3 linked regions of the Drosophila melanogaster genome follow. The protein of the gene in region 2 interacts with the protein of the main gene of each other region in a pairwise test. Each region holds a gene or a part of one and is shown on either strand. Other genes may lie near its edges.

Region 1 (9,165 bases), on a different chromosome or scaffold from region 2:
CAGCCTTTTAATACTTTTGTTTGTTGACGAGTTTTCCGAACGTAATTGTGCATAAGTCTTTTTAAACCCTAACTTGACATAATAAAGTGCTTGGGCTTGAGGTTCTACAACAAAATGGCGGATAAACAAGAAATGCTTAACCCATATTCTATTGAGAGTAAGGAGGACACCCTTTATCGTGTTGCGTTGTAGATTTTCAAGTTCAAGGACAGCGAACTGTGAATTTCGGTGGCTATTTTCGAGCTTGCCGGCGCAATCCGTAATCCTTAGCTTAACTGGCCGCAAAGGGGTGGATGTGGCTTTTAGTCGGAACTCCAAGGGGGAAAATGTTTTGGCTTATTGTATCGAGAATTGCGGAACCTGAGACTTATTTTGAATAGAGGTTATTCCTGTTAACATTAATTACGTTTTGACAAATATCTCCATTCCTTTGGTTTCGATTTCCAATTTAAGAAGCCATTAGAACTCTCAACGGGCCCTCACAACACAGGCTATCGTTTGCTTAGCACCTGTCTTAGTCTTTCATTTGTAATGCCATGTGAGAAGTAATTAGCTAAATTAATTTGCGATACAGTGCGGAACAGCGTTGTAATGCCATAAGTACTTGCGAAGACGTATTTTTACTGCATTGCTAAGAGCACATGCTCTTTAACGGATAATAATAAAAGTTGTATTACACATAAATTTTAGTTTTTAAAAGTTTTTCTTCATATATGTGTATCACATATTTCTTCAAGTGTAATTGTACTTAGGCATATCGAAGTGTAACCATACACCCATTCACATTGTATTTGAATATTCACCTTCTATTTGTTTTTTGCGTGTTCCAAAGGTCCAAGTTCAATTTCAATGCCGACTCACAATTTGATTCCAGTTAAGCCGACATATAAGCTGATTGAAATGAAAATTTAATTTTAACTTCTCCTAGTTTCCAATGGCACGTTACTCCTTTTATGAGTTGTCCAGAGAAGCCATGACAATTCATATCATCTTGTGAAACTTCACGTTTGCATACAATAATACGGAATTGGCACTTCCTGTGTCGTAAATTATGCATTGACAGAATAAGTTCCTTTTGCATTGGAATGAAGACAGGACAAGCGAAAATGGGTCTTGCACTTCCGCAATTGATTTAATACATTTAACATCACTTAATATTTCATTTCACAACCATTTTGTCTCGTTTTCATTTTCCAAAGCTATTTTCACCACATAAATCACGTATATTTGTCATAAATTGCTACAGCTATTCAATAAGTAAACCATTTTCAGCCAGGAAATATTCTTTTATTGCTATTTGCCAATATCTTCCTCATTTCCAGGGAAAAAGAATTCACAGTTCCATATACATTTTTGTCCATTATATGAGCTCCCATTGTGTGATTCTGTTGCAGAATTTATGAATTTCTTCTTTAAATGGAGCGCTTTTCCATTAAGCTGCTGCAATTGAATCAGAATAAGTATCATACTACTGGTCTCTTTTAAATTTGTTAAATTGTTTAAGAATATCAAGTGGTGCCTTTGCCATAAATGAACTTTCACCTGGCAATGTTGGTTCAGTTGAACGTATTCGCACATGCTGAAGATTATGACACACAAAAGTTGGCAGGAAAGTTCACTGAAACTCCGCTTTTCCTTGAATGGCTATATGTAAAATCAACATTAAACTTGCTTTCTGGTAAAAGCCTTGATTTTTTTTTATCAAAATACAAAACGGTAGTACGAAATTCGGAAAACAAGTCAGCTTTCGTCTAAGTCCTTGTAGCATTTCGATACCTTGAAATGGTAACTTTCTAGGAATAATAATATACATATATAAATATTTAGATCTGAGAGTATTTTAAGAAAACTCTTCTTCTTTTTATTTTTACTTGTGTATTTTGGTTTTTACGTTGTTTACATCCCTGGTTGTAAACTTATTTATTTATAAATGCTGAATATCGAATTTAGAATGTGCTGATGGTTGTGAATATTCGATTTGCTTCACTGGTAATGGGCGAGTGCCTCCTTGTTAATAACGCCCGCATAACTGGTGTACTTCGGCGAGGTTCCATTGAGGGCGATGAACTGCTCCGCCACCTCCACGGCAACACGGACCTGCGCCTCCGAAGTGCTCGCGCCCAGATGCGGCGTGGCCACCACCTTGGGATGACTGATGAGGGCCTTGGTGACCGCAGACTTTGGCGGCTCCTCGGGATAAACGTCGAAGGCCGCGCCGGCCACTTTTCCGCTCTCAAGGCCATCGAGCACGGCCTGCTCGTCGATGATGCCGCCCCGGGCCACATTCACCACCTTAACGCCCTGTTTGCACTTGGCCAGTGTCTCCGCCGATATGAGATCTGATGGGATTCAGCAAAGAAATCTATATAGTTTAGCTTGAATTTTATGCATACTGCTGTTAAATGTTAATCTCTTAATCTCTTATAAATATTCTATCAATGCGCGACTTACTTCTGGTGGCTGGGATCAGCGGCGTGTGCACGGTTATGTAGTCCGCCAGTGGCCAAATCTCCTCCAGCGTCATCTTCTCGATGCCCGCCGCCTTGGCCTCAGCCTCCGTGGTGATGGGATCGTAACCAATAATCTGCAAAGCACTCAGAGTTCGATTAAAATTCCAAAATAAGTAAATACCCCATTCAAAACACACCCGCATGCCCCAGGTCTTCATCCGAATGGCGACCTCGCGTCCAATGCGTCCCAATCCGAGAACGGCCAGGGTTTTTCCATACAGCTCTGTGCCGGCATAGAGCTTCCTGTCCCAGCGACCCTCCTTCATGCTCTGACCGGCGGGGACGACGGGACGGGCCAGGGAGCCAATTAGGATGCACGTCAGCTCACAGGCCGAAATGGAATTGCCACCCGGAGTGCTGAAAGCGACGAGAGTTTAGTTAAACATTCCCTAAATGCCTCGCTAGACACTAGCTGTTGCGCTAAGTTGAGCGTTTCTGGTGGGCAAATGGGTGGCGTTTGTTGTGACTAGACAGCATTATGCAAATTCCGCCAAAAAAGAATTGAATGGGAGGTGGGAAATATGGCAATTTTCCAGCTTTCCAGGACATCTGACATGGATGTGGCCAACCCAGCACCCACCACCCACAACCCATAGCCACCCAAACACCCACGCAACTCCATCGACACTCGTCGTCCCTTAATTATGCGTGTCAAACGGCGTCAATTGACCCAAGTCATGGGTATTCTGGGCTGGGATGGCATATCAACTGCCAATCCTGCGATTCGGAATGCGCATAATTATTTGTGAGCTGCGCCATCGGAGATTACACTACGCTGCATACCATAAAACACTGCTAGTTTGAATACCCATGTTTATGATCATTATTGAGATTACCACAATTTTACTGAACAGTAATATTTCCTCGCAATTGATAAATCTGCCATAAAGGGCTACATAAATTCATTTCCGAGAACAACTAATTAATATTTTCGTTCCATAAATTAGAAACTGTTTAAAAATGCAAATAAATGAAATCGGAGCCGAAAATGGATTGAATTGTTTACCAACTTGAACTATAAACAGAATGGTAAAATATCCATGAAATATATTGCATGGCAAGAGCTCTAATTAACCATAAATAAGTACTTTGTACTGTTTGTACTTTCTATATCAGACTTTCAGCTACAAATACAAGTTGGTCTTGTGGCATAGTGTTCGTGGCTACTCTTTTCCCGCCCTGCAATGCACCGGAGGCTTACGGAGCACTTACTTCAGGACAACGACATTTTGCGCTGTGGCTGCGGGAACATCGATGTTGTCAACACCCGCCCCCGCACGGCCAACGACCTTCAGGCTGCCGGATCCGGCGGCCAAAACTTCCGCGGTTATTTTGGTATCCGAACGAACGATGGCTGCGTCGAAATTCTGAAATGCGGTGTAATTTAATAATTAGCAACTGGGTAAATATAAATATTTGTCATCTAATTGCCTAACTCATTTCCCTGGCCATCTGGATGGCATCGATTACTGCTTTCTTCTGGAAACGTGATTGATACCACCTAACACCTGTACTTTATCATAAATAAAAGCAATTCGTCTGGCGTATGTATGTTTCTGGCTAAGATTATTGAACCTCTTGATATTTTCCGGCAATTTGTGATCCTACTGGAAACAATTTATTTAATGTTGAGGCAACATCGTCTGATCGGCCGTTTGATTGATAAGAACTATTGGACCGATAGTAATAAATGGTGATAACAATGTCTGGCCCAATTGTTCACAGCAGATTATTGCCATTTAAAAGGAATAGTTTTTTTTATTTTGTAGAATAAAATCTGAAAGTGCATTTCGAAAAGTGGTTTAAAATGCTGGGCAGTTTAAAATGAACAATAGAGAATAATATAGTCGAGATACTCGACTAGCAGATACCCGTTATTTGGTTTGTGGGAGTGCGAACGAGCGAAATTACAAAAATTCTTTGGTATATCGATAGAAATTGTCAAAATTGTGGGCGTGGTAGTTTGCGTTCAGACGGGCGGACAGAAGGACGGACATACCGACTTGGCCAATGAATCTAATCAATAATATATATATAATACTTTATATGCTTTCCTGCTACCTGTTACATAAATTTCAAAGAATCTAACGGGTATAAAAACCATTTGGTTCAGACTAAATTCTTTTTCTCTCTGCGAACGTGAAAAAAAATTTGTTGTCAAGTACTTATTTTCTGACCCTTGCAATTTGCTTTTATGTTATTCAATAAAATCACCAATTAAAAGTATCCGTCTCTAAATCAAATAAAATTCAAAACATGCATTCGTGCCCATACAGACATGAAGCGGTTTAACTAATTGAGACAAACATGCTTGTCAAAATTTAAAGCTGTTTTCGTGCAAGAGAAAACAAATTTAAATAAATTATGAGAGTAATTGATTTTGATTTGAAGAAGCCACAAAATGTTTTTTTCTAGTTTTTGTTTATTTTATCTTTATAACTGCGGTGAAAATATTCTCTTAGCCATTAACCCAATAAGGCTTAAAGTTTGGAGACAAGGAAAATAAGATTTGTAAAAACATTCTATATTCCATAACAAAGATGATAATGTTAAAAAAAGGGGTCAATTCCTTATCATTAGTTTTAATTTTGTTAAATACAATCTCCATACTGCAGTAGTTTTGAAATATACTTTCGGTTTGATGTGCTTAGATTGCTTAGTTACAGACTAATTGAAATGTTATTATTATGTAACGCCCACGCGTACTATCATATATGTACACACACATATACAATGCACCCATATCTCAGAGCGTTGCACATGTTTTTAACCACACTTGAATCATTCGCAAAGCTTTCATCCCAGCGACTTAACTCGTTCATATACATCTGAACGTGTGTATGTATTTACTTATTTACCTGTACTGAAATCCCTAAGCCACTTACCTTAACTTCCTGACACAGTTCCTCCACGGGGAGCTTTAGTTTGTAGGTAACCTTGTCAAAAAAAAAGAAGGAAAATATATGGTCAACAACGTTGATTAAATTGTGCAATAAATTAAATGCACTTATTTTCTATTTGTCCACTTCTAAGCGCTTTTACATGCTTGCAAATTCACATACAGTGTGTACTCGATAAGTAAAAGCAATCGAATAGCTTAATTTAAATGAATTGCATTGTAGGCATAGACTTTCAAATATTTAATATCTTTTTAGTGTTAGTTTTCGTCGAAAAAACATTTTTTGTGTGGTTATACTTAGTTTAATTATTTGTATTTTTATCCGAGGGCGCACTGTACTTTTGAGCACTTGTATGGGTGTAAGCTTTTGCTTACTCCAACAAATAATCGACTGTCACGTCAGGGGATTGGCGAACCTTACCTTAATCCCATGCTGTTCCAGCAGCTCCACGCAGGATTTGTCCACAGCATCGCAGACCAGCACTTTTCTTATATTGAGGGGCATATTTGGGTGGGTAATGAATACACTGAAAAATCTGGACAACCGGTAGATTGCGTTAATTTTTGCCAATTACTTTCCGCAACTCACGATCTGCGCCGCCGAGCAAACAAATTGAACTGACTTCGAGAGTGGGTTTCTCGGGCCATCGAACCTGACTTCGAATGCCTCTCGCCGGTGCAGTGCGATTGTTGTTTTTTCTGGGTGATAACCAAACCACTGAGAGGATCGGAGAGCGCCACTTGGATCTTAAAGTTCTCTCCTTCTTCTCGCGCGATTTGTTCTTCTTGAGTGTGCGTGTGTGAGTTGTTTTCGATTTTTGCACGCAAAACAACAATTTTAACCCACGGACGACCCTGTGATTAAAAATGATTTAAAAATTTCAGCTTTTGTAAAAAAATATGGCAAGCTTTCTAACTTTAATTGTATTATGCATTTATTTACTTTCTAATAGGGTTCAAAAAAAAGTACTTACCCATATAATCAAACTCACGCCGAATAGATAAGACTGCATTTATTTTTAATATTTTTATTGTATTTGCTTTTATTTGCAATTTAGCTTTCATTTAACTACGTATTTTCCAAAAACATATTGTGAACAACATTTGAATGCGGAAAATGAAAACGAAAACAACAAAATGTCGTCAAGGTGATGGCAGGTATTCATCCTTAACATTAAATTAAAGGAATCTTACAAAGTTGTTAACAAAATAATTAGGTAACAAATTGAAATATCATTAACTATTTACATACAATTTTTGAAAATTGCTGATTGGATTTTAGTTACCGTTTTTCTCATTTTTTACAATATGTATATGTTTTGTATGTATAAAATATTCTATATAAATTGGGAGCGGTGTTGATATTTCCACCAATAGTTCATTTTTATCTTTCCAGGGTATTCGGTGTGGGGATCTTTGGTTAATAATATATTGATTACGGAAATTTCATGCGTGCTCTTGTCAAATTTTCCACCTTCTATTCCAGTTCAATAAGTTATTTAGGCTAAAAAAATAAGGTTTGCTTTTCTTATTTAAGTGGCTTTGAAAAGTAGAGAAGTTATTACCGCTAAATTTAATTATATATAGGCGTATCTTTAAAGTTTCAGTATGCTTGCTATAAAACTTGTTTGTATGTTTGTGTTTTTTTTTTATAGTTTTCAAGAGTGTCAACAAATCGAAATTGCTTGGTTTGGTTTTCATTTGTTTTATTATAATCGGAAATAAGAGTTTATTATTACAAAAAAATTGCTATACTTTTGAAGCAAACCAGTTTTACTTCTTTGCAGACCTCTGTCCGTCTGCTAGAAGGTTATGTAATGGAATATATGAATTTATCAAGTTTAGTTTTCGAAAACTTTCAAAGAACTTGAGTTGAGAAATTTAAGGCATCTTACAAAATATCTTCAACATATTCCTATCAGATCTGATGAAATTTTCATGGCAAAGTTCACCTTTCCGTTACCAGAAAGTATCTAACAATATCTGGGATAATCAGTTATTTTTTAATCAATATTATTTTAATTAGTTTTTGGATTTCACGCTTACAAAATGCCGGCTGATGTATCTTTATCGGTTTAAATTTTGTTAATTATGGCAAGAACATACATACATATTTATATATGCAGCTCTATAAATGTGTGTATCTTTTTTAATATATACCATTATAATATATTGAATTACCAGTTCTGTGAATTATGTGCAATATTCTAACATACACACTTCTCATCAACTGACCATTTAAACTTAAGTTTTCCGCTTGTCCCCTTCTTAGCTGCAAAGGATCGTATCTAGTTTTGTTTTTAACTTTATGCTAGTATTAAAAAGTAATATTTCATTTAGGTTTAGCTAATACATAGATCATTTTGCTTTGCCACTTTTTACAAGAAGTGCTTGTGTATCGTTTGCTGCGTTCCGTTATATATTTAAATTTCAATTTGTTCCTCGTTAAAGCGCCTCCAGTGCCTTGGTCAACCCCATTCAAATTCTCTAGGGGATGGGAGGTGTTCTCCCATCTGACCTTTTAAACCCTCCCTCTCCTGAATGTGGCTAACAATTTCAATTAGGTATCTGTATTTGTCGTGCGCTGTTCAAATTTACTTTCTGAAAATTAGTTATATCACCTTGTATCTCTTATATAAAAAAGTACTAGATTTTTTCTGCGGGCAAATTGCCCGACCTGTCACTAAACTCTGACCCCGTGTTACAGGATTCAGCTGTTGTCCTTGGACAGTAGGATGGGTTCTGTGGGTGTGCTTACAGATCAAAACTAGCTGAACATCGACTCTTACTCGAGGTGGTGGCGATCGATTTGAATGCAGTGCGGTTCATCATTGTTGGGCGCTAGCTCAGTTCGACAACTAATGATCGACAAATTTAGCATGGTGGTTGGAATTGTAAAAGGAGTGCTCGTTCGGAATGGGCCAGATCAACGACTATCGTCTCAACATTACGTGTACAATTCAAAACTTGAACAATAATTTTGACGCATTCGACTTTAGCGATTGGTGGTGGTCAATAATGATCTAATGGGGCGGCGGAAATGCAGAATATCTGGGGTGGAGTGCTGTCGTGTAACTCGATTTGATGGATTTATAAGGCACTGGTAGTTTAAATCGCTATACCTAAACCTGAATCGATTTTCGATCCTTATCCAGGTTGCAGGCCCGTTCGCGGCTAGTTCAACTTGAGTTTTGAACTGAGATCGCGAACTGTGCGCTTTGGCAGGTGTGTGGCATGATATGGTGTGGCAAGGTATCTAGGTCGAAAGTATTGCTGTTGGAAGTTGAAATTGTGTACAATGCGTTTCATTCAAGATATATAATACAAATGTTTAACAACTAATAAAATGATAGTATTAGATGTACGGCCGTATTTAAGAAATATTCAGTTAAAAACTTCAAGCTTAAGCTTTCAAAATTATAGAATAAATACATTATGGATATATCAATTAATTTCAACTCATGATCATATGGCTTTGAGACGCACTGTAAGTGTAAATTTTTCTGTGTAGAGAAGGAAAAGCGCTGGATGCGAGAAATAGGTATCGGTTTGAGATTAAAGAGATTTCAATCGGTTCACAGTCAATTGAGAGTGTAAGAGTGTGTGTGTGTGTGTCGAGTGTGTGGAGGTGTGTTTGTGTGGCTCGACTTAGATTAAGACACGTTCACTAAATTATTAAAGCTGACACTTATTCATGTACTTAGTCAATCGATTGCATAACAAATACGAGACCCATTTGGGGACCAACAAATCCTG
Region 2 (6,332 bases):
CCCACCAGCCCGCGCACTTTTGCCCCCAATCAGCGTCTAGGCTTTGAACTGCACGTTTGCCAAATTGAAAGCGACTGACTTGGCAACACGGACACCGGCTGAGACTCCAACTCGTAGCGCGACTTCCAAGCCAGCACCGACTCCAACTGCGATTGCGATTGCAGCTCCAACAGAGGCCAGCTTGTGCCTGGGCTTGTGCCTTTCAGCAACGGACTCTGGTAGTCGTTAGGCGATTCATACTCTCTCTTATATGGGTCTTTGGGACATATGAACATAGATTCAGGAAGATATGACTTTCATGATATGCTAGGAAACTGCTGTTATAATATTAATATTAAATATCATATGTTTACTTAAAATTTTTTAATTTACAGACTAGTACTAGTTATCTTAATGGGGACTTAATGTAATTTATTATATCTCTCAAGAGCATTGGCAATTCGCTAATCGATGACCCGTCAAGACTGCCTTTACCCATCAGCAACTATTTGGCTTTTAAGCTTTTGGTTCACACGACTGGCGATGGCAACAAGTTTTGTGCAAAACTATATATACATCGGCAGACAAACAGACGGGCATATATGACAAGCAATTAGTGTGCATTGAGGTTAGTCGAAAATGGTTTTGCGGTCTCTCTATTTCTGTCCATCGGTGTCTGCGTGATTATTTTGCATATTCGCATTACTCATACGCCACGTGTGCCGGTCGAGTTGAAAGTTGAGGCATCTTGAAAGGCGAACCATCGAAATGCCTTGAGAGTCTTAATTGTTATGGCTCCAGTCAGCAGAAAGGCAAGCCAAGTCAAGCCAAACGGCTAACGGAAGTCATGGCCAGAAGACAAACAAACAGAGCGATTCTGCAGCATCATGGGAAATGCTTAGCCAGGCAAAAAGCACGGCCACAAAAAATAACTCCGAGGCGTCCAACCACAAGTGTCATATTGCTGCGATGGTGATAAAGTCGGCCCAACAGCAGCTGTGAAAAAAGGGGCATAAAAAACAGGCAACATTTTATACACTCAGTGCTGACCAGTAGCCCTGAGATCAGCGAATTAAAAGAAATATGTGGAGGACGGGCGAAAAACGAATCTTAGAACGACAACCGGATGTTAAAGTTTATTACGAAAGGCGACAAATGCCGAAGGGTTGGTAATCGGACTATGCAAAAAGAGTTTTATTTCTTTCATTTTGGAACCCCCAATGCGCCGAGATAGCGAAACTGTTACACTTAATCGATACGCTTCAACGAAAAGTCAACCCACAGCCCCAGCCATAGTGGTGGTTGTGCACTGTGAGAAATATTTGAAAACTTAAAAAAAAAAACTGATTACATTTGAATTCGGTTATAAGTAAAATATCAAAATATATATATTTTCCATTCTTCCGAAATGGGGTGATCTATATTTATTGGTAATTAACATAGTTGCTGTTATTGAAATTGTTTCAAATCTACTTTAAACTCCCAAAAAGACCGCACATTTTGTCCACGTGCAGTTGTCGCAGTCATCATCATCAGCCAAGCATGCGACATAATTGCGCGAGTTAAGGCTGCCCCTCCACCCAGCCATCCCTCACCAGTTCGCCCACTGCCCCCCATTGGCGGCTGACAGTCAACCCGCTTGAAATCAACCAGCAGCAACAGCAACAACATTTCAGCAATCCATCGGATCGCATCACAATCCAGCCATCCGTCCAACGTGTGGGAAACACACGACAAATCTGTTTCCCACGGTCTCGTAAAGTAGGCACACCGCACACACACACAAACACCCATCCCCATCCACTGAGCCATGGGACCCACAATCACATAGGCTACTGCCTCGTAGGCTCCCTCGTGTCTCATTCTCATTGTTGGTGTGAGCGGTACGGAGCAGCGGACTTCGACAGCGAATGGGAGCCGAGCACTGTCATCATTGACAATAAGTATGACATGGATGAGGGGGGATGGAGGGCGGGGTGGAGCGGCCTGAGAGACACGCGCAGTCGCCGAGAATGAGATCCAATCCGAAAGCCGACTGTCGACTGCCGACTGCTCAGTTTCCCTCTGGCCATGCAATCAATTGAAGACGACGCGCGCCAGAGCACCAAAGCTGCAGATACAGATACATTTGTATCTGCGGCGGGGCACGCTCTCGCTCGCTCCCATTGCATGCACCTTGGTTCGAAGTCGACTAGTTTCGGTTAATAATACTAATTTTGGACTAATAGTATTACTTTCAATAAGCAGATTTTACGAAAATAATTGCAGTTTTATTAACTTTGTAAGTGATTAATATTTTTTGAAATTGCTTTCTTTCAGGTCTTAAAATTTAGCAAATTTTTAAATCGTCCTTTTGGTTGAACAATTATGTTGCATACTTTTGAGAGTCATATAAAAAATAGTTGTAGCAAAATATAAAGAACACAAATTTAACACTATTGGAAATGAAAAATATTGATATTATATTCGCATTGCTAAAATGGATTATTTCTTATTTTTTATAATAAGCATAATTAAGAAGGTAAAGAGTTCCATGGTGATGGTCCCACTGTACCCCCTGCAGACGGTACAACCCCCATCATCGATGGCCTACAGTAGCCTCTCTTTGTGCCGCTGCCGAGCGCCGCTACCGATCCGCGACCGAAAAGAACCGAAGTGGAACTCGATCTTGGGCCCGAGTGCCTGGGAGCGTGTGTGAGTGATCATGCGGGAGCTTTGTGGCCGGGAGAGCCTGATCCCCGTTTGCCGGGAGAGCGTGGCTGTCATATAAAAGTAGGGCTGGGAACTAGTTTGCCACTCATTTCGTAAAAGTGCCGCCACTCGAACGCACCGCAATCGGTGGAACGCGCAACGCACGCGCAACAAACTCGTCAAAAAGTAACCAATCTATGAAACCAACCAAAATCAGTAGTGATAATGTGCAGTTGAGAGACTAAATACAAAAGAACAATCCTTAAAATACACAACATAAAACAACCCAATCGATCATGGTCATGGAGATGTCCAAGACGTATCAGTACCGCAAGGTGATGAAGCCGCTGCTGGAGCGCAAACGGCGAGCCAGGATCAACAAGTGTCTGGACGATCTCAAGGATCTGATGGTGGAGTGCCTGCAGCAGGAGGGCGAGCACGTCACCCGGCTGGAGAAGGCGGATATCCTGGAGTTGACCGTGGATCACATGAGGAAACTCAAGCAGCGGGGTGGTCTTTCGCTGCAGGGAGTAGTGGCTGGTGTTGGCAGCCCACCCACCTCAACCAGTACCGCCCACGTGGAGTCCTTTCGCTCCGGCTATGTGCATGCTGCCGATCAGATTACCCAGGTCCTGCTGCAGACACAGCAAACCGATGAGATTGGGCGCAAGATAATGAAATTCCTATCGACGCGACTAATTGAGCTGCAGACGCAGTTGCTCCAGCAGCAGCAGCAACAGCAACAACACCAGCAGCAGCAAATACCGCAATCATCAGGCCGCCTAGCCTTCCCGCTGCTGGGAGGATATGGACCGGCAGCCGCCGCTGCCGCCATTAGTTACAGCTCCTTCCTGACCAGCAAGGACGAACTGATCGATGTGACATCCGTCGATGGCAATGCGTTATCCGAGACGGCGTCGGTTAGCTCGCAGGAGTCCGGCGCCTCTGAGCCCGTCTGGAGGCCCTGGTAATTGGGCGTGCCCAATATGGATCTTATCCCTAATATTATAATCGCAACCCAAAAAAATGGCTATTGACCGTTCTGCAACAAGATCCGTTGTCTTCCAAAGTAAATCATATCAACCTAAGTTAATTGAGGTCTAATCGATTTCTGAATGGTTTTGAAATACTTTTAGTTTTAGTTCCGATAATGGTAATTTGTAAATTAATTGTTTAATTTCAACTGTGATATAACTAAAGTACGTTGATCAATCAATCAGTGAATATATATTCGAGTGCGCTATTTTCCTACTCCAAAAGTTCCCTAAGTTTAATATCTCGTTGCGCTCTCTTTATTGTTTAGCATATATTAAGCTTTAAATAATTTATAAATGTTAATTTATGATTAGTTGAGAAAGAATAATCAAAAATACACTACCCAAATAAAATAAATGATTTAAATTGAAAACACAATGTTTTTCTTTTGCGGGATTTCAAAATTTTATAAAATATTTATTTTGTTATATTAATAAATATAAACAAACTGAACGATATTATGCAAACCTAACGGAATACTGTTCATTCTTGTCCCAGTCCGCCAATGTTGTTTACTGCCCCAATAAATTACCTTTAATTGAACATCACCTCAAATGTATGCAACACATTTTCGACTCGACCCTGATTCATTCCCATAAGCAGATCATCTAATTGGAGCCTGTTCTTACCACCAATCTGATCGGCAATCAACAGATCCTCTCTACCTGCCCGATAACTGGTTGGCATTGTGGTCCAAATCAACAGGCCAAACAACAACCGTCAATATGCACTACCTGCTGGCAGGTAAATTGATCAACAATAAGACCAAAAAAGGTTCAGGATCGAATCGGATTAGGGTCCGCTCGTTTTTCAAATGAGTCATGCCAATTAAGAAAGGACTTCGCTCCCCATTTATTTTCTGTGTTGATTTGTAAACGGAAAATTGTTGGAACAATAAGGGGGAAACAAAGAATTTAGATTCCTATTCAATTATTTTTTTTTTGGGTGAAATGTAACACAATTTTTGGTAAAGATTACCAATTTCCAAATGTGTGATTTAAGAGAAGGCCCATTTCATACGATTTATCAATGATTAAAAGTAAAAAAAACAGTGGTTGATTTCATTTAAATTGTATATATATTTTGATTTTTTTGTGTTTGTTAAGTAAAATGTATCACAATTTTTGTAAAGCTCTTCAGTTGAGTTGATCGGCTTGCGTGTTAATTTTTGTGGAATGGTTTCAAAAATTAACGGAAGACGTTGATTAAAGCTGGAGATCCAATGGAAGACATAGTTGCCGGATGATGGATGCAGGTTGCAGGACGCTGATATTTTTTAGGCCTGAACCCAACGATCCTGGGGGATAGCGATGGCGTTGGAGGTGCTGCAGTAGAGGGGCTCGACGAGGTCGTTGTCGGCTGGCAAATCGGAGACGGCGGTCCAGAAGAATGTGCCGTGAGCGGTGCGGACGAAGTGAACGGGAACGGTGGGCAGTTGCTCGAAGTCGTAGTCCTCAATTTCGCAGGACTGGGAGAGACGCTCGTTGGCCTCGTTCTCGCAGGACTCCAGAGAGGCGCAGATGGAGGCGGATTCCAGATCGGCGTTGCGGCTGTTTTCCATGGATTCCAGAGACTCCAAAGAGTTGGCCTTGAGGGCGTTCTTGAGGTTCTGCTCCTCCTCGACGCGCTGTTGCTGCTTGAAGATCTTCTGCAGCAGTTTCTTCACGCTGTAGGACAGCTTCTTGTTCGATTTGATGGTCATGGTGTTGTTGGTGTTGATCTTGTTCTGGCACATGATGATGTGTTTTGGAATTTTGTGTTTAGCTGCTGTGTAGCTGAGATGTGTACTGTACGAAGCGTTGAGCTCGAATGATGCCTGATCCTCCGAGCCAGGGTCCTTTTATACTCGCCAGGACGTGGAGAAACCCGAAGCCGAGCAGGTCACAAAACACCGAGTGTGGGAAACTACAAGGATACGTGTCCCGAAAAATCCTATACACAGTGCGGATACATGGCGAGGCAACAACAAAAACGGCAGGTGTGTTTTTCGAAAAGGGACTGCATCGGCATTAACCTGCGTGCGTCGGAGTGTGACGGCATGTAGTGTCGCTCCGCTCGCACCTGTTGAAGGTGCGGGCAATTTTATCCTGCTGCAGGATCGTGAGAAACGAGACTTTCTACCAGTTCCCACAGTTTCGGTTCGAAAGGATCCTTTTTGACAAGGAGATTCGTTTTTTTCCCTTTTTCTGCCGATCACTTTTGGTTTTTATGTGCACTTATCTCATTATGTAGGCAGTGCGAGCGGGACGGACAATGATGGAGCCGGGGGGCGGGGGAAATCCGTTTTCCATTTCTCGAACACGTGTGCAGCTCGAGAACGTGGGAGAATATTTTCAATTTTCAACGCTCGAACGGAGGCGAACAATTAATGCCCGAAACCAGAAGATAAAATAGCTCAATAGGCAAACAATCCGTAGAATTTGATGGAGTAGGGGGCACACAGATCCCAGACGAGGGACCAGGAATCCTTAACTGCGAGCATTTAATGCGCTGTAATTTGAAATTTATCAAATTGTATGTGGAGGCGAGGCGTTGCCCGAAGGAGCGAGATGGCAAAGGAGCTGGAGGACAAGGATCGTCGACGAAGGAGTTGCTTTTAATTTCTGTTGCTGATGGCACACAATTAG
Region 3 (7,667 bases), on a different chromosome or scaffold from region 2:
GTCTTCCTTCTGGACACTCTCTGCATCTGCCGGACGTAAAGATTCCGTTTCGTCGTATATGTACTCCATATCCGTTTATTTTTTTTTTTCGCAAATCGAATAACTCGTGTTGATAAGCATAATGAAACAAGAATCTATTGTAAATGTTAACGTAACATTTTTTTTTGTAGCTGTGTGTTACGAGCGTTTTATATGTATTTATACGTGTCTTAAGCTAATCTCAGATATGCGCACGCAGATTATATACAGGAATCCATTAAATATATACACATACACAACATATATGTACATTCCAGCTATCTGTGGTTATAATATGCTAAACTCACAACATCTGACCATGTCTTACATCACCATAATTGCCATTCCGCTGCCGGGATAATGGGCCATAATTGCCAGAGGGCTAAGTTTCTGGGAAAACGAAAAAATGAATAAACTCACGGTCCTGACGTCACGTGCCGGCAACTGTTGCAAAAATCCCAATGGACTGTGTTTCCAATTCGCATTCAAATTCAAATTCCAACTGCGACCCACCATTAAATGGTGGTCAACTCCTTCGCTTTGCCAATCCATGGTTGTAAACTTCTAAGAATCAGGGATTAGCGCTTCAATTAACACCAGATAAACCCTTTGTTTATTTAACTAGAAGTTTTCAATAAGAAGCTTACAACATAAATACTTAACTTATATGCATGTCGCATGCGCATTTAAAAGATATTTCTTTGACTTGTCAAATTTTGCATATAAAAAATTGAGAGTGCTGCGCGTATATGTTGCATCTATTAAAGAGTATTGCCCCCATTCGTTGCTTTTGCCCGTTGCCAACTTTTCTTCGTTCTGCTGCTGTGTTGTTGTCGTGCCACAAGCTTATCATAATTAAGCAATTTATATAATTTGTAATTATTTTTTTTTTATTTTTATCATCCGCATGACAACTCTGTGAAAAAATGTACATAAATATGTGCAGACGGCAGGAGGTGCCCGTTTTGGCGGAGGAGTCGAGGAAAAATAAAGTCGAGATAGATCGCTTTTAGGATGGGCCTGCTAAGAGAGATGCAAAGCATAGAGATACGGAGCCGCTGAGATACAAAGATACAAAGCTACAAAGATACTAAGATACAAAGATACTAAGATACAAAGATTCGGATGCACATACAAAACGCCAAAGACTTGAAACCGCCTTGTGATTTATATATTTACTTTTGTTTATACTTTGTATGTTTCTCTCTATCCCCTTTTTTGTTTTTATGTTGCTATTTACACATTTTTTTCTTTTGTTGTTTAACTAAAAACTTGCGCTAAGTTTACAAGAGGGTTTGTTTGTTTTGTTTTGTTTTTTGCTGGAAATGTAACCTGCTGCCGCTGATTTCTTGTGGCGATTATGGATACACGATAATTGGAGGCAATTACGATCGGATCTGGAGGTTCAAAGTCAGGGTCACAGAGCGCCGAGACTTTGCCATCAAGTCAATCGAGTGGTTGTGTGACCTTCGAAACTACATATTGTACACCCTGTTTTTTTTTTTTTTTTTTTTTTTGGCAAATTCAATCTTACTCGAGATGGCAGGCCAAAAGGAGGAGATCTTGTGCTGTGACTTTGAGGTGCGTGGCAGGGTGCCCAAGGATGCTTTCGAGCTGTTTGCACTGGTCCAGGCCAATGCACTGGGACTGCGGGGATTCATTGCCCAGGTGTCGGAGGAGAAGTTCAAGGGTCGTCTGGAGGGCGAGGGCAAGGTGATCGATGCCTTTAAGAAGCTCATCCTGGCCGCCGCCGATTACGTGCAGGCCATCAAGGAGTTCATTATTAAGAATCTGAAAGTCATCCAGGAATACACCTACAAGACCTTCGAAATCAAGGTGAACCTAAAGTGATTAAAGGATCAAACAAAATAAAATATTTCCAATGCATAATTTTGTTTAAAACGGCTATCAAAAGTTTTATCCATTATGATTTGTCTAATATTTTTGTTGTATGGATATAACAAGGTATTTTCCAAATAAAAATTACACAGTTATATAATCACAAATTCAAAAGAGTTTCCTAAAGAGCTGATTTATACAACAAGCAATTTCCCAAAGAGAAGAACCTGTATGAAAATGCCAAACTTTTCATGGGCTCATTGTGGATTGAATGATTATTGTTGCGATTGCTGGATCTGGGCAATTCTCCAAATGACCCATGGATTCTCACTTACGAGTACTCCATCGTTGGTTCTAGGACCCATTGCGATCGTGACGAATGAGCTAATGATGTCCATGATCCGTGGGAGGGGATAACCTTGTGGCCATCGCCGCCGGCGATCGGATATCAAATCGAATCGCATGCCTCGGATGCATATACTCGTAGTAAGCTAGCGATGTTCCCGGCTGTTTGGCATGCAAATCGAAGAATCTGATCGCCACCTCGATCGACACGATGAAGGTGTACCACTGGACAACAGCGAACATATAGCCACGGATGGTTATTTATGCGTTCGCGGATACAACTGCCGATTCACTGAGTTCCAGACTTCTCAACCAAATAGCACTGGTTAACAGGCCAGTGAGAAGTGGTAGATTTGAAGTTTAGTTTTTCTATATTAAGAAGATCATCTTAGTCGGCTAAGCACAAAACGTTACCATCTCAACACTGCACATCGGGGGGAATTATCAAAGTGTTCTTTTGTAGGCCAGTGTCGTGTATCTGCAGTGATATATGGACAGCTAAACTATCTTGGCTCAAGCAACGTTACAATTTTATGGGTCAATTTGCGGACGGCCATTACTAGAATTTGTGTGTGTGTGTGTGTGTGCAACAGGTAGCCAAGTGTGTTTTACACAGAGGAAATTAAAAAATCCTTGGTATAAAAATCCTTCCTCCTGAGAAATCTTAAGGTTCAAATATATTCCAGTGAAGAAACTAACCAAATATTAAATACTATTAAATTTTAAATACTATACTATTAAATATCAAATACTATTAAATATTTTAAAGAATTATCTGTAAGTAATACAATTTTCTCGCTGTGTATCTATGAATGTAAGCAATGAACCTATATGCGAAAAGCCACAAAATTGAGGGAAATTAACCTAGGCGGCGACTGCGACTTGGACTAATGCGGTTGCCGCGAACATATATGTTTATACATATGTTTGAATCCCAAGTCTGGATCCGAATCGGTATCCAAAATCAGAATTAGCCGCTTAATTGCAGCGCTGTGGCAACGCCAGCAAACCGGAAAGAACGGCGACAATGATTGCCAATCCGATTCGCAAGCAATCAGTGCTGACTGTACGTCATAACACCAATAGAAGCATAATTAGTATAATTATAAGTTATAAAAAGTAAAGAGTATGAGAAACAGCTACTACATTTAGTACACAATACATTGATCTTTTGGAAAATATGCTTATGAAAGTGATTGAATCCTTAGCCAACAAGTTAAATAACTGCATGAATCTCTAAAGTACAAGTTATATTCTTCAATTTTCAAGTAATTCGTACACATAAACGTTTGCAATCGAATGAGAATGTCATTTCGAAGATGACTCTTTTTTTTATAAGCTTTTGAAAAAAGCTAAGCTCTCATCTCTGATCGCCGGCGCGCCGCAGTCGCGTCGCAGTCGCCGTTCGCTGCTTCCAATTCCGACGCTCTGCAGCTCAGTTTGCTTTGAGCGCTGGAACGCGAAAGTCGTCGACGGAGGGCCAACGTTGCGGATGAAAGTTTCGAAGCGAACTGGGAAGATTTTTGAAAAGCGCAGGCGTGCAACGGTTTTTTTTTTTTAGTTTTTCTTTTTTTTTTTTGGGGGGGTTTGGGCTACGCTTCGCGGCGAGCGGTGAATGGCAGCCTTTTTTTCGAGTGTGGTGGCTGAGTGCAATTCAAAACGCATTTCGTGCATAATTTGTGGAATTTTACGCGTTGTAAAATCAATTTCATTGTGCAAATTTGAAAACTTGCCTGCTTTCCGTTGGCTTTCAGCGGCAACAGCTGAAATATAATGCAGCCACATCAAGCGGGCAAGCAATAAACAAATATCAAAAAAAAAAAAAAAACCAAGAAAATTTACAAAATATAAAAACACACACATTTGAAGAGTCAACAACAGCGATTACAAGGCACTAAAAACCAAAGGAAGAGGTGAGCAAATATTTCCATTCATTTGTTATTCTTTCGTTGGGCTTAAAATATTTTCGTATTTTTTTTTTCTTGTTGCTGTCTGATTTTTCGTTTATTTTGGTTTCGCTGATTTTTTTAATTCGAATGGAGTACACAGAAAATAATAGAATATGTTGAAAATTGTAAGATTTAAACATAATAATATATTTATTATGTGGCATTTGAAATTGAAAACGTGCTAAAATCAATTTGAATTCGACCTGCCTAGCTTGATTAGAACAAAGTAGTACATGCTCTTTTCGCACAGTGTGCCTATCCCAGCTGGCTCACACACACACAGGCACACGCACAACCTCTTTAAAGTTGTCGCTGTTGTTGTTGTCCTCATTTATCTGGACTCAAAGAGCTGAAGTTCGGAGTCGCGGACTCAAAAACTCTGAGCCGTCGTCTTCGATTATTGAGCCGTTTGACTTTTTCCCAACTGCCAGCGAACCTGTTGGCCCCACAGGCAAAAAACAAAAACTACAGCGAAAATATATACGAAACTGGTGAAAAAAGTAGATATATATACATATATATATATATATATATGAAAAAAAAAGATGAAAAAGATGCTCTGGTCAGCCTCTAGAAATAAGCAAGTATCTGTCTTTGAGCTCTTTTCTCTTCTCAATCTTTTGCTTTTTTGCTTTTTTTTTACACTCGTAAAGCCCATAAAGTGCCGCATATACTTGACCTATCCGAAACTGCGGGTTCTACCCGGGGGGAATGGATAATGGATAATGGATAATGGATAATGGATAATGGTCGCCGAAGTGGCCGAGTTGCTTACTGGGTTGGGTTGGCCAGTTGCACTTGGCCTTAAATCGCTTTATTTTACCTGGAAAATCTCTAATTCGTTCCGACGGAATTCAGCGATTTTATGTTGAAATGTCAAGTGCAGAAAAATAAAGTGGTTCTAATAAATATGCAAGTGAAATACATAGATCACTAACAATCCCCTAGATACCTCTTAAAAAACGATCTTTATTTTAAATATACTCATATATAAAGTTTATGAATATCCTTAGTGAATGCAGTAAACAGAAGGCAATATAATATGTTTTTGTAAGTGAAATACTACTTATTTAGAATAATATTCTATAATATATTTGACAAAGACCTGATTTTTTGTTCACTGTGCAATCTGCTTTTGGGTTGAGAGCAATTTTCGTTTGGATTTGGCCCCTCCTCGAGGCCCCTTTAAAAATTATTATTATTACTCTGCCGCATCATTATCGCCGCGCTTGAAATCTAATTTCTGCCCCGGCCACAATTTGCCACACGATTTTGTTTAGTTGTGTTATGTTTTGTCTTATTTCATTTTCTTTGTTGCGAGCCCCAAAGGAATTGAAAGTGCGCGCGCATGCGCAATTAAGGCCAAGTGCGCGCAAAAAAATATATATACGAGTAAATTCACAAAAAAACACACAAACGTCAACTGGCAGGAAAAAATGAAAAACAAAAAAAAAAAAAAAAACAAGAAATGAAAAAAAAAATAACATAAAAACAGGGGATCGTCGGCGGAGGAGGCTGAAGGCTAAAGAGCAGAAATTCACTTTTTAGTTTCGTGAAAAAAAAAACACACAACAGAACCCAGAAGAGAGTACCACATACCCCCCATCCAAATAAAAGGAAAGAAAAAAGCCAGTTGGTGAAAATCCAGCGCATACAGGTTATAAAGATTTATGATCACTTTTGATACCGTCCGCCGTCCACTCGGCCTTCCAATGTAGGTGAAGCTCAAGTGAAAGAAGATAACGTGGCTTAGTGCAGATGAAGCTGGCTCGGAGCGACTGGGCCACGAATGTGGCCACAACGCCATATAGCCATATAGCCAGCCAGCTATGCCCACTTAGATTCAGGTCATCAACGCCGGCGGGCCATTGAGAAAATCGCGATTTCTTCGAGGAAATCCAACTGAACAAGAGCATCGATAAATGTATTAATTAATAAGAGTAATGGCAAAACAGTTTAGATTTAATTAAATTGAAGTACAACCTTAGTTTTGGTTAACAGGATAACTACAAACAATATTATTTGGCAAATAATTAAAAGTGTCTCATTAAGGCCTCAATCAACACTTCAGTTTATTGACAATGATTGATGGGCCGAATTGCTTGAGGAATGGGGTCAAAACTATTGATTTAACAACATATTCGTTACATTCATGTTATTTGCTTTTTGGTATAAGTATATATTTTTTTTGTAATTATGTATGCGCAATTAGGTAATATATGTCATAAAGCATAGATAAATGAACCTAACCTTTATTCGAATGAAATATTTTACACCCTCGTTATACAAATATCTATTACTCATAATAAAGGTCACGCTCCTGTTGTTTTATTGCCCGCACAATCTGCTTTTTATATAGCCCCATTTTACACATAGTTATCCATCGTGATTCATTTGATTGAATCGTGTTGCAATCATTATGCATTCAAACAAATAGTTTCCACTTTGTATGCAATAGTTAGCCAATAGATCACTTAATGGCTTCTTAATTGGCAGTTAACGCGAAATTGGCAGCAAAAGTAGATGTGCAAGTGTGTTTTTTTTTTAGATTCAATTCTATCTTGTTCTATCAAAAACTCAAGCAATTTGGAGTTTATTCACATAAATTCACTGAGTGAACTGCGTACTTCATTTGAATATAAAGCGTGTGTTCAGTTTTTTGCTTCACTCATTAGCTGAAATATAAATTATATTAGTTTCAACTGCTATTAAACAACATTTGTTTGCCTCTTCCATCAAACTGTAAATCCTCACTCTTTCACTCACTGCACATTCATTAAGTTGAACTTCTTATCGCATTGCATTTAATTACTCACTTCGCTAACAGATTTTCTCACCATTCATTTGCTGCATTAATTCATGTTTTTGCATTTCCCCCCTTAAAAAAAAATTAAATGTATATACATACGTACATATATCTTGAAAGCGAGAAAGGCAAAAAAAAAAAAAAATAATAATAATAAAAAAAATAACAATTACCAAGGCAGATAACTCATTAATAACTTGCATGGCAAAAGGTATTTTTAATTTTGTTGCCGAGCATTTTTTGTTACGGTTAATGTTGGAATAACTATTCATGAGACTTAAACGGGTTACTGCTGCTCCGCTCGTTGCTTTCTACCAGCCGACAAATGAACAAAACCATACAAAAATATCACAAATACACCCACAGCGTAAAATCCAAATACAAATCCAAATCCAAGACCATCCATCCATCCATCCATCCAACCAACCATTCAACTATCCATCTATAACTTTTGGGGTCTTTCGAGTGTTTTTTGAATGGCCCGTGAATGCGGGCTGCCAAAAATCGAGAAAAAAAAAAACACAAAAAATAACACAAAAAACTAACTCGAAGAATGGTTATTTGGAGCTCTTTCGCTATATATAGCAAACCGAGTCGGCTTTGTAGGCCCAATTGACCTTAAATTATTGCCCTAGCGTTGGCGTAATGTTTCAAAATTCTCGCATAATACATATACTTAAGGTGAATACTTGGGCCCAGCATATTTATTT

Evidence for each region.
Region 1: the proteins of E(spl)m3-HLH (region 2) and CG6287 interact in a two-hybrid assay, tested with the Drosophila melanogaster proteins (one large-scale study listed by BioGRID).
Region 3: the proteins of E(spl)m3-HLH (region 2) and CG15365 interact in a two-hybrid assay, tested with the Drosophila melanogaster proteins (one large-scale study listed by BioGRID).

The regions. Positions count from the first base shown.
Region 1 is NT_033779.5:11,149,688-11,158,852, forward strand, and holds CG6287 (uncharacterized protein), read right to left. Parts: upstream 6,035-9,165; 5' UTR 5,915-6,034; coding exon 5,831-5,914; intron 5,447-5,830; coding exon 5,396-5,446; intron 3,878-5,395; coding exon 3,723-3,877; intron 2,868-3,722; coding exon 2,648-2,867; intron 2,585-2,647; coding exon 2,452-2,584; intron 2,340-2,451; coding exon 1,984-2,339; 3' UTR 1,819-1,983; downstream 1-1,818.
Region 2 is NT_033777.3:26,019,054-26,025,385, forward strand, and holds E(spl)m3-HLH (enhancer of split m3, helix-loop-helix), read left to right. Parts: upstream 1-2,769; 5' UTR 2,770-2,966; coding exon 2,967-3,641; 3' UTR 3,642-4,074; downstream 4,075-6,332. Other genes in the region: E(spl)m4-BFM (enhancer of split m4, bearded family member), read right to left, coding at 4,982-5,440.
Region 3 is NC_004354.4:9,063,956-9,071,622, reverse strand, and holds the start of CG15365 (uncharacterized protein), read left to right. Parts: upstream 1-3,639; 5' UTR 3,640-4,115; intron 4,116-7,667. Other genes in the region: CG44325 (uncharacterized protein), read left to right, coding at 1-35, 965-1,031; CG10970 (uncharacterized protein), read left to right, coding at 1,558-1,869.